Linked DNA regions of Canis lupus familiaris. The protein of the gene in region 1 purifies or fractionates together with the protein of each later gene. This does not show direct contact. Links are inferred from orthologs where the notes say so. Each region holds a gene or a part of one and is shown on either strand. Other genes may lie near its edges. The genes, in order: NF2 and AMOTL1.

Evidence for each region.
Region 2: the proteins of NF2 (region 1) and AMOTL1 purify together in Homo sapiens (affinity purification with mass spectrometry; 6 studies listed by BioGRID and IntAct, counting the BioPlex papers as one, with this or other methods). This does not show direct contact. The link is inferred for Canis lupus familiaris from reciprocal best matches to the Homo sapiens genes NF2 and AMOTL1.

The regions. Positions count from the first base shown.
Region 1 is NC_049247.1:23,221,751-23,226,002, forward strand, and holds the start of NF2 (merlin), read left to right. Parts: upstream 1-1,426; 5' UTR 1,427-1,796; coding exon 1,797-1,910; intron 1,911-4,252. UniProt on the Homo sapiens protein: Probable regulator of the Hippo/SWH (Sav/Wts/Hpo) signaling pathway, a signaling pathway that plays a pivotal role in tumor suppression by restricting proliferation and promoting apoptosis.
Region 2 is NC_049242.1:6,356,398-6,360,943, reverse strand, and holds the start of AMOTL1 (angiomotin-like protein 1), read left to right. Parts: upstream 1-1,587; 5' UTR 1,588-1,740; intron 1,741-2,188; 5' UTR 2,189-2,280; intron 2,281-4,546. UniProt on the Homo sapiens protein: Inhibits the Wnt/beta-catenin signaling pathway, probably by recruiting CTNNB1 to recycling endosomes and hence preventing its translocation to the nucleus.

The DNA.
Region 1 (4,252 bases):
GATGCTAATGGTGGTTAACATTTATGGATTGCTTACTGTTCAGTCAAAACAGAGGAAACTGTCTCTTCTCAACCATTAAGAGTTATTTTTTTAAAAAAGATTTTCTTTATGTATTCACGAGACACACACGCACACACACAGAGGGGGGAGACCTATGCAGAGGGAGAAGCAGGCTCCCTGAGGGGATCCTGATGGAGGACTCAATTCCAGGACCCCAGGATCACAGCCTGAACCAAAGGCAGACGCTCAACCACTGAGCCACCCAGGTGTCCCTTATTAAGAGTTACTTAAAAGTAGGATTTATATTTTTAATACAGAAAGCTATATACACCCCCACCTCACAACACACCCACTATAACTTGATGACATTTAAAAAATAAATAAAACACAGCTATGGTTTGAAAGTGGAAATCAGAATACAAAATGAGAAACGCTTTCATTTTTTGGACTGTTCTGTGTGTATGTATAAAAACAGCAATTAAAAAAAAATTTTTTTATTGGAGTTCAATTTGCCAACATTTAGCATAACACCCAGTGCTCATCCCGCCAAGTGCCCTCCTCGGGGCCCGTCACCCAGTCACCCCAACCCCCCTCCCACCTCCCCTTCCACTACCCCTTGTTCAGTTCCCAGAGTTAGGAGTCTCTCATGAAAAACAGCAATTTCATAGGATTCCACCTAGTATATGCCAGCAGCCACCGTTCTAAAGCTTTCTATGTATTAACGTCCTTAAATTCCTCAACAACCCCACGGGGTAGGTACAATCATCACCCTTCCTTGGTAATAACACACTTTCTCCCGGGGAGAAGCAGAACGATCTGGGGGAGTGCCAGCAAGCTAAGCAGCTTCCACGTGACTTGAAAAGTTTAGAGAAACACAGAGGTCAGCATATGCCATTAAGGGCCGAGGAGGGCTTTCCGCCGGGTGTCCGACACGCGCCCTCTGGGGTACCACACTGCACGCGTACTCAGTCCGAAGGGCAGGCGCCCGCTGACCCACCCGCAGCCGCGTGCCAGCCTCTAGGTGGTTGCCCGTGGAAGGCGCGCCGGGCTCCGCTGCCTCAACCAATCTTGCTAGAGTAGGCGTACTCCCTGCGAACAAAAGCGTTCGGAGTGACTGCCACTCTGGCCACTCAACGCCGAGCCCAGGCCCGCGCCTCCAATCACGGCGGAACTTCCGATTGGTGGAGTCCCTCTGAAGTAGGGTGGACTGGCAGGAAAAGTCCCGCCTCCCTGGGGTTCTCAGCCAATCGCGGTGTCCGGGCGGCAGCCGCCGGGTTCGGTTGCGCTGCGTGTAATGATCTGGGGACCTGAGGGCGGGGCGGGGAGCAGGCCGGGGTCTGTGGGGAGGGGACGCTTCCCGCGGGCGCGCGGAGCGAGGACGGTGACAGCCACGCGCGCACGTGCGCGCCCGGCCGCAGCGCGGCCCCGAGACCTCCGTCGGCCGCTTCGAGGCGCGCGGGGGCTGGGCCGCTGCCGTCTAGGGGCCCAGTCCCGGGGCGTCCCCAGCGTCCCCGGCCCGAGACCCTGAGCGCCGGGCAGAGCCCATCCGCTTGGTCTTGGCTCGTGTTCCGTCCCCGTGGCCGTAAGGGTCCGCCCCCCAACTCCTCTTTACGCTCCCGGGGCAGGGTCCTCACGGCCCATGCTGGCCGCTGGGGGCCCGCGCGGACCAGCCAGCTCCCAGGCGGGCCAGTCGGCTACCATGGTGGCCCTGAGGCCTGTGCGGCTCCTCCAGGGGGGCTAACAGGTCCAGAGCGCAGGCCTCGGGGCGCGAGGGTCCCGGGCCTGAGCCCCGCGCCATGGCCGGGGCCATCGCTTCCCGTATGAGCTTCAGCTCGCTCAAGAGGAAGCAGCCCAAGACGTTCACCGTGCGGATCGTCACCATGGACGCCGAGATGGAGTTCAATTGCGAGGTAACCGACTGGCAACCCCGACGGGCTGTGGCAAGCGGGCGCCGGGCGGAATCCGGCGGGATCCCCGCTCGCCCGGCCCCGCTGTGGGTCGGGCACCAGCTGGGGCGCCCCTGCCGCGGTGACAGTCAAGGTGGAAGCTTGAGGGATCCAGCTCGTATCATCTCTGAGCATAGACGGAGCCAGCCAGAACCAGAAGGAGCCATCTAGGCCCAAATCCTCATGTTAAAGATAATTGCTGCTTTTTTTTTTTTTCTTTTTCTTTTTTTTCTTAGGGCTTTTGGGTTTGGAAGCACTTCATTCAGGTTTTCATTCATTGTTACTGGAAGCGTCCGTGGAAGGCCAAATTCTGGTTTTCAGTGTCAGGCTTAAGTTCCAGCTCTATGGTTTTTTTTTTGTTTGTTTGTTTGTTTGTTTGTTTTACTTCATTAGATATTTTTATGTGCCCCAGGTATTAAAAGTTGCGTCTTGTGTTTTGGAAAATCTATACTTACTTCCTTTTTTCCAAAAGCTTCCATTTTCTGGAAGTGAACTATTTCAGATGAGAGTTGATGTCTAATATTTTTCATGCAGTTTACACCATGATGATACCAGTTATCATTTGTTGAATGTGTTGTAAGAGTCAGACATTAATACATTTAATTCTCACAACAACCCAATGAGGTAGGCACCCCAAACTATGTATCTAGTTTGTGGCAAAGTGGGATTTTAAGTCCAGCTTTTAGCCAAAATAGTACTGCTTCTCATGTAATTTAAGTCCTTGCTAGTCCAAAGTGTAGTCTGTGAAACCAGCAGCACTGACAGAAGTGACCTAAGTCAGGGGTTGACAAACTTTTTCTGTAAAGGGCCACGTAGTAAATATTTTCAGCTTTGCAGGCCATAGGATCTCTGTTACAACTACTTAGTCCTTCAGCTCTACTATTATAGCACAAAAACAGCCTGATGATTCACTTCTAGTATGACAGTGTGAGTAGCTTCATTGACCTCCCTTGGAGGACTAGGAAAAATTACTTCAAAAAACTCAACTATTTAAACCTTCTGGAAATGGTCCTAAGGGCAAACATTCATCAAATGAATAAAGGGCTATTTGAGAAAATCTATGAAAATTTGCTAAGGCGAGAGTCTATGGTATTTGAACCAAGGCTACTACCTCCCTCCCCACTTCCAATTCAGCAGAGTAGAGATTCCACTCCAGACTGCTGTAACCCAGAACACAGGGCTCCCTCTTCCCTAGCTCCCTGTCAGACCACTTTTTTCCCAGGAGGAACAGGATTTCAGTGTTTCTTATTCTGCATAAGCTTACTTGTTGCTGAGACTAAGTACCAGATGTGTATAGTTGAAAGATGGGGCTTACTTCTTCTATCCAGCTCCTATTCACAGAATGGGAGCTGTGCCTTGTGCATGGCATGCTGAGACTACTGGGGCCCCGGTTACTCCTGGCCCAGGCCCAGCTTGTGCAATGGTGGTTCCATGCCAGAGAAGGCAAACTGAGAAAACTTCAGGCTTGTGTGTTCCCCCAATCCTTCCTCTTCCGCCAAGGACTCAGAGATTTTACCTGGAGGGAGAAGGCGGCTTTAAAACCTGTAGTTCCTGCTCTCTTCCCAAAGGCAGTTACTTCATTTGCAACAAAATGTGGAGAAGTGTATCCCTAAAGGAACTCTTAAAACAGTGGAGGATTTGATGAAGGGCAATTGGGAGGAGATTATGGATTTTTTAAAAAAATTTTATTTATATATGATAGTCATCACAGAGAGAGAGAGGCAGAGACATAGGCAGAGGGAGAAGCAGGCTCCATGCAGGGAGCCTGACGTGGAATTCGATCCTGGGTCTCCAGGATCGTGCCCTGAGCCAAAGGCAGGCGCTAAACCGCTGCGCCACCCAGGGATCCCGGAGGTTATGGATTTAATGAAGATCCAGCCTAGAAGGTAGGCCAGCTAGTTTGCAGTAGAGAATCAGAGAACTAAAACAGCTGGGAAGAGCCCTTCATGGGATTGAAAAACTTTACCCCCCAAAGAGCCACCCTTGATTGGATTACTTTGTAGAGCAAGTTATGCTCCAGGGCATGGATGAAAATAATAGAAGACTAAAACACAATTAATGGAGTTTAACAGCTGGGTGTGATTAGGGGGATGAGAAAGAGCCCTATTAAAACCACTGACACCCAAGGATGACTGTGGCCATAACTGAATTTGTGCCTCTCTGAAGAAAACATCATAGGCCTTAACACTATGTGAAGGAGATAGATTTCACTAAAACATTCCAGCTCATCACTAAATGAACAAACCAATAACAAGCCCTGGGGCTGGGATGGGGAGAACCAGTACAGTATCTATATTATTTAGATA
Region 2 (4,546 bases), on another chromosome or scaffold:
GGTCACGCTCCAGAGTCTTACTCTCTGTTGCCTCTTATTTCTGGTACCTCTGACTTCCTGAAGCTTAGCCATTAGGAGCTGCTACTCTCCTCTGCTGGTGTGGAAGTAATTCTTCAGCTTTTCCTCTGACTACTTTTACAGCAGTCGCCTCTTCCAGGGAGCCTGCCCTGATGTGCAAATGGACCACCCTGCTCTGAGTTCTCATAGCTTCCTTTTTCATACTCATCTCACAGCAAAGATCGATTGGCAATTTTCTTCGCTATCTCAGTAATTCTGTCAATGGCCCCTCTACTCCTGCCTGACTTTTGCTGTGACAAAGGCTGGCCCCTGCTGCGTCAAATCCTCTCCACCCTCAGCCACAAGCGCTCATCCTTCTCTTTTCTCCACTGCCCACTGGGCTGGGCAGCAGTGAATTCTGCTGCAAGAAACCTTGGAAAAGAACAACACCCACACACACATGCATATTCTAGAAAGAGAGAAGAAAATAGGCCAGGAGCTCACTCCAGGCTCTTGCTCCAAAAGAAGAGTAGTTTCTTTCTCCTTAGCAAAATGTTCTCGCAGAGGCACAAAGCAGAAGGAGCCTGGCAATTCCATTTTAAATAAACTCGTGCTCCTAAATTATCATATTTCAGATTGGAATCCCATCCTCCCCACCTCGGCCCCTGGCCCCATTGCTCTTTATTCTTCGTGAAGCCTCAGTGGGGAAATGTGAAAGCCACTGATTAAAAGAAGCCTGTGATGGGCCTGCCACCAGCCGATTCTGATGAGACACATCCAATTAAAACAGACAACATTTTCAAAGACCCCAGGCGGGCATTTCATCTCCTCAGCACTTCCTCCAACATGTCAGCATCACCTGAGGCAGTTCTTCCTTTTTTTTTCCTCCCCCAGTATGAAATTTAGGTCAGTAACTGCATAATCCACACAAACAACCCTGGCTGCCTCTCCTCCCTCCTCCTCCTCCCTCTGGAGTTGTCTGTTTGGAAATACATAATTGGGCCCAAATGCTTCCTCCAGCTGACTCCAGTGTTTGGGGTGAGGACCGGGCCGGGGGGTCGAGGGGGCTGGGGACTGCTGCCTCTGCTGCATGCAGGACGTGCAGTGAGCAAAGACTGGAAGGTTGGTCGTGTGATTCAGTAGTGAGATCAAGCCATGCTGCCCACCCAGGGGGCCTGCTGGGCCATCTTGCAGTGATGGTGACGTCAGATTCTGTGCCCTCCCCTGAAAATCAATAATGTGGCCTCAGCAGGGCCACCAGTTCTCAGGGTCCAGCCTTTCACCCATAAAAGGAGATGAGCCAGCCGGATGTCTACACCCATCGTTGTTGCTCTGGTACTAATGTACATAGGCTTCCACAGAGCCTTTTGGAGGCAGGCGCTCTGTTAGGGGGTGCGGGGCCAAGTGTGCATCTGTGTCCACTTGTTTCTCTGGATGCCTTTGTGAGAATGTCCAGATCCCAGGGAGATGGGGAGATGGGTGTCTGCAAAGAGAATCCCCACTCAGCCAAACAAGGCCAGGGAACTGGCTTCCTTCCCGTGCTCTAGCTGGGACAAGCATTGTGCTTGCCACAGAGGCAGAACTATTTTCTCAAACAGGAAAACAGATTCTGTGCTTGGAAAAGTGGGAGACAGAGTAGGCTGGCCGCAGCACGCTGGGCGGAAGAGGATGTAGGAGGTGTTTCCTCACCCTCCTGTCTCTGGCTGGCCTGTGTGGTATGAGAAGACTTCTGGCATTGGCCAGGTAAGCTCGGGAAAACTATCCCCCTACATTTTTCCACAGGAGAAAACAGGGAGACAGGCATAGAAACAGCCACCTTGGTTTTGTCTGACAGACTGTACTGCAGCCCTTAAATGGTTCCTAGGGAACTTTGGGTTGAGCTGTGGTCATTCTGCCTCTGTGGGATCATACTCCACTACAGGGACATATGCTTGGAAGGGACCTTAGGTGTTATCTCGTCCAGCGTGTCCAATCTGCAGATGAGAAAATAGGCCCAGACAGGGCAGGTGACCTGCCATGTTCACACAGAGAGCTACTGGTGGAACTGATGGACCAGAGACTCCTGACCTCCAGGCTGAACAAATTTCCATCAACTTATGGCCTTCCTCCCATCCTAGTTTCCTTCTTTTCTGTTTGAAAATTAATTCAACACAATCCAGCAGGCATTTACGGAACACCTGCCTTGTTGCAGGCACTGCGTTGGGCACCAGAGATAAAGAAGTGAAGTGAGCCACCTGATGATGTTCACTGTGTACTAAGAGAGAAATTTCTGCAGGGAAGGAGGTAGGGATCAGCATCCTATTACCTTACCGGAGCTCCAGGTGCACCTATATCTTACTCAATAGTGTCACTGGCTACATTGAATTATAAGTGATGTTTTAATACTCAATACTGAGGTCTTGAAGGACAAAGACTAGCTGACTAATTTTGTATCCCCAGTGCCCAGGAGAGTGTCTAATACATGGTGACTGCTTAGTAGATACTTTTTTTTAAAAAAAGTAAATATGGGGCACCTAGGTGGCTCAGTAAGTTAGTTTAAGTTTTTTTAAATAAGTAAATATGGGGCACCTAGGTGGCTCCGTAAGTTAGGCATCAGGCTCTTGATTTCAGCTCAGGTCATGATCTCAGGATAGCGAGATTGAGCCCCACATTGGGCTCTGCGCTAGGCAGATTCTCTATCTCTCTCCCTCTTCCCCTCTCCATTCATTTGTGCTTTCTCTCTCTAATAAAGTAAAATAAAATAAAATAAAATAAAATAAAATAAAATAAATAGATGAGTATTTACTGTTTCACTTAAACATACTAATCTGACAAGTTATTCTTGTCAGTTTTGTCATGTATAAAATAAGGATAAGTACTTTATTTTCCAACTCTGGCAGACAGCTTGTATAGTTTTACCCCCTTATCCACTGTTTCACTTTCCATGGTATCAGTTATCCCTAGTCAACCATGGTCCAGAAGCAGATAATCCTCCTCTGACTATTGTCAGGTCAATAGTAGCCTAACAGTAGGTCACAGTTGCATATGTCATTCATCTCACTTCATCTCCTCATGTAGGCATGTTCTCATTTCACATCATCACAGAAGAAAGGTGAGTATAGTAAAATAAGATATGTTGAGAAGGACCACATTCACATAACTGTTACTACAGTATATTGTTATAATTATTCTATTTTATTATCAGTTGTCAATCTCTTGCGCCTAATTTATAGATTAAATTTTATCATAGTTATGTATGTATAGGAAAAAACATAGTATATATAGGATGCATCCCTATCTGTGGTTTTAGCCATCCTCTAGGGTCTTAGGACACATCCCCTGTAGATAAGAAGGGACTGACTACTATATTGGAATAACCTTTTTGTTAAGAACAACCACAAAAGCAGAACTATAAAACCAGACATACATATATTGAAGGTGTAATACGTATGTCTATTTAAGAGTACATATGTGTATAGATACATAAATATGTAAATATATACTTTAGAATTATATATGATATATCTAACATATTTTATAAACATAAAATTATATATAATTATGTATTACAATATATTATATACTTTCAAAGTATTTATAATTACTTATAATGTGTGTGTATATATACACTTTGATAGGAACAAAGAAGTGAGGACTTTAATGATCAAAGTCCCAAAAAGAAGGAAAAAGAGAAGTTGGTCTGACATTGGAAGTGAATTTTTCCCTCCAGATATTTGCCGGTTTCTGAGTAGCAGTTAAGAGGCCGAGAATCTGAACAGGAAATGGTGCATGGGAGCTGAGCAACTGAGCAGAGCTGCAGTAATCACTTTGATTTGGAAAGTTAAAAGTTGGAATTATGAGCCCATCAGGGTGGAAGGACCCTGAAAAACACACTGAAAAGCAACACACGAGGAGTGAAGATGAACCTGAAATGCCAGTCATCATACACTGAGGCACATTTCAAATCAGCTTGATCTCAAATTGATTAACCTGATCTGCTTCTCCCCTAAATACCCAATAGTGTGATTAATGGATCCTAGGGTAGTTCTATTTTCAACTTTTTGAAAACCTCTGAAAAAGGTTTTCCATAGTGTCCCCACCAGTGCAAGAAGTTCTCACTTTTATCCACATCCTACCAACATCTGCTGTTTCCTTGTATTGCCCAATTGCCTTCAGAAGCAAGTCCTCTCCGGAGAAAAAGAATATCATCTAGAACCTTGAAATATCTCTACCATTCTTGGTCCACACACAATTACTAGCATTCATTCTGAAGTCATCAGACAGACCAAGAAAAAATAACATAAAGGTCAAAACCAAGAGAAAAATTGACCAGAGAAAGAAACCAATAGGAAGCCCAGCTATTGCAGTTATGAGTTTGTACATATTTAATGTTCAGAATAATATCTGGTGCATAGTAAGTTTAATATACATACTTGTTAAAAATATAAGAAATGTTTTGGAATTATGAGGGTTCTGTTGGGGGGAAATATCAGTCATTCATTTATTAGACACTTATTAGGTCAGGTAAGCATTGTGCTAGGTCCTGTGAATACAGATTCTGACCTCAAAA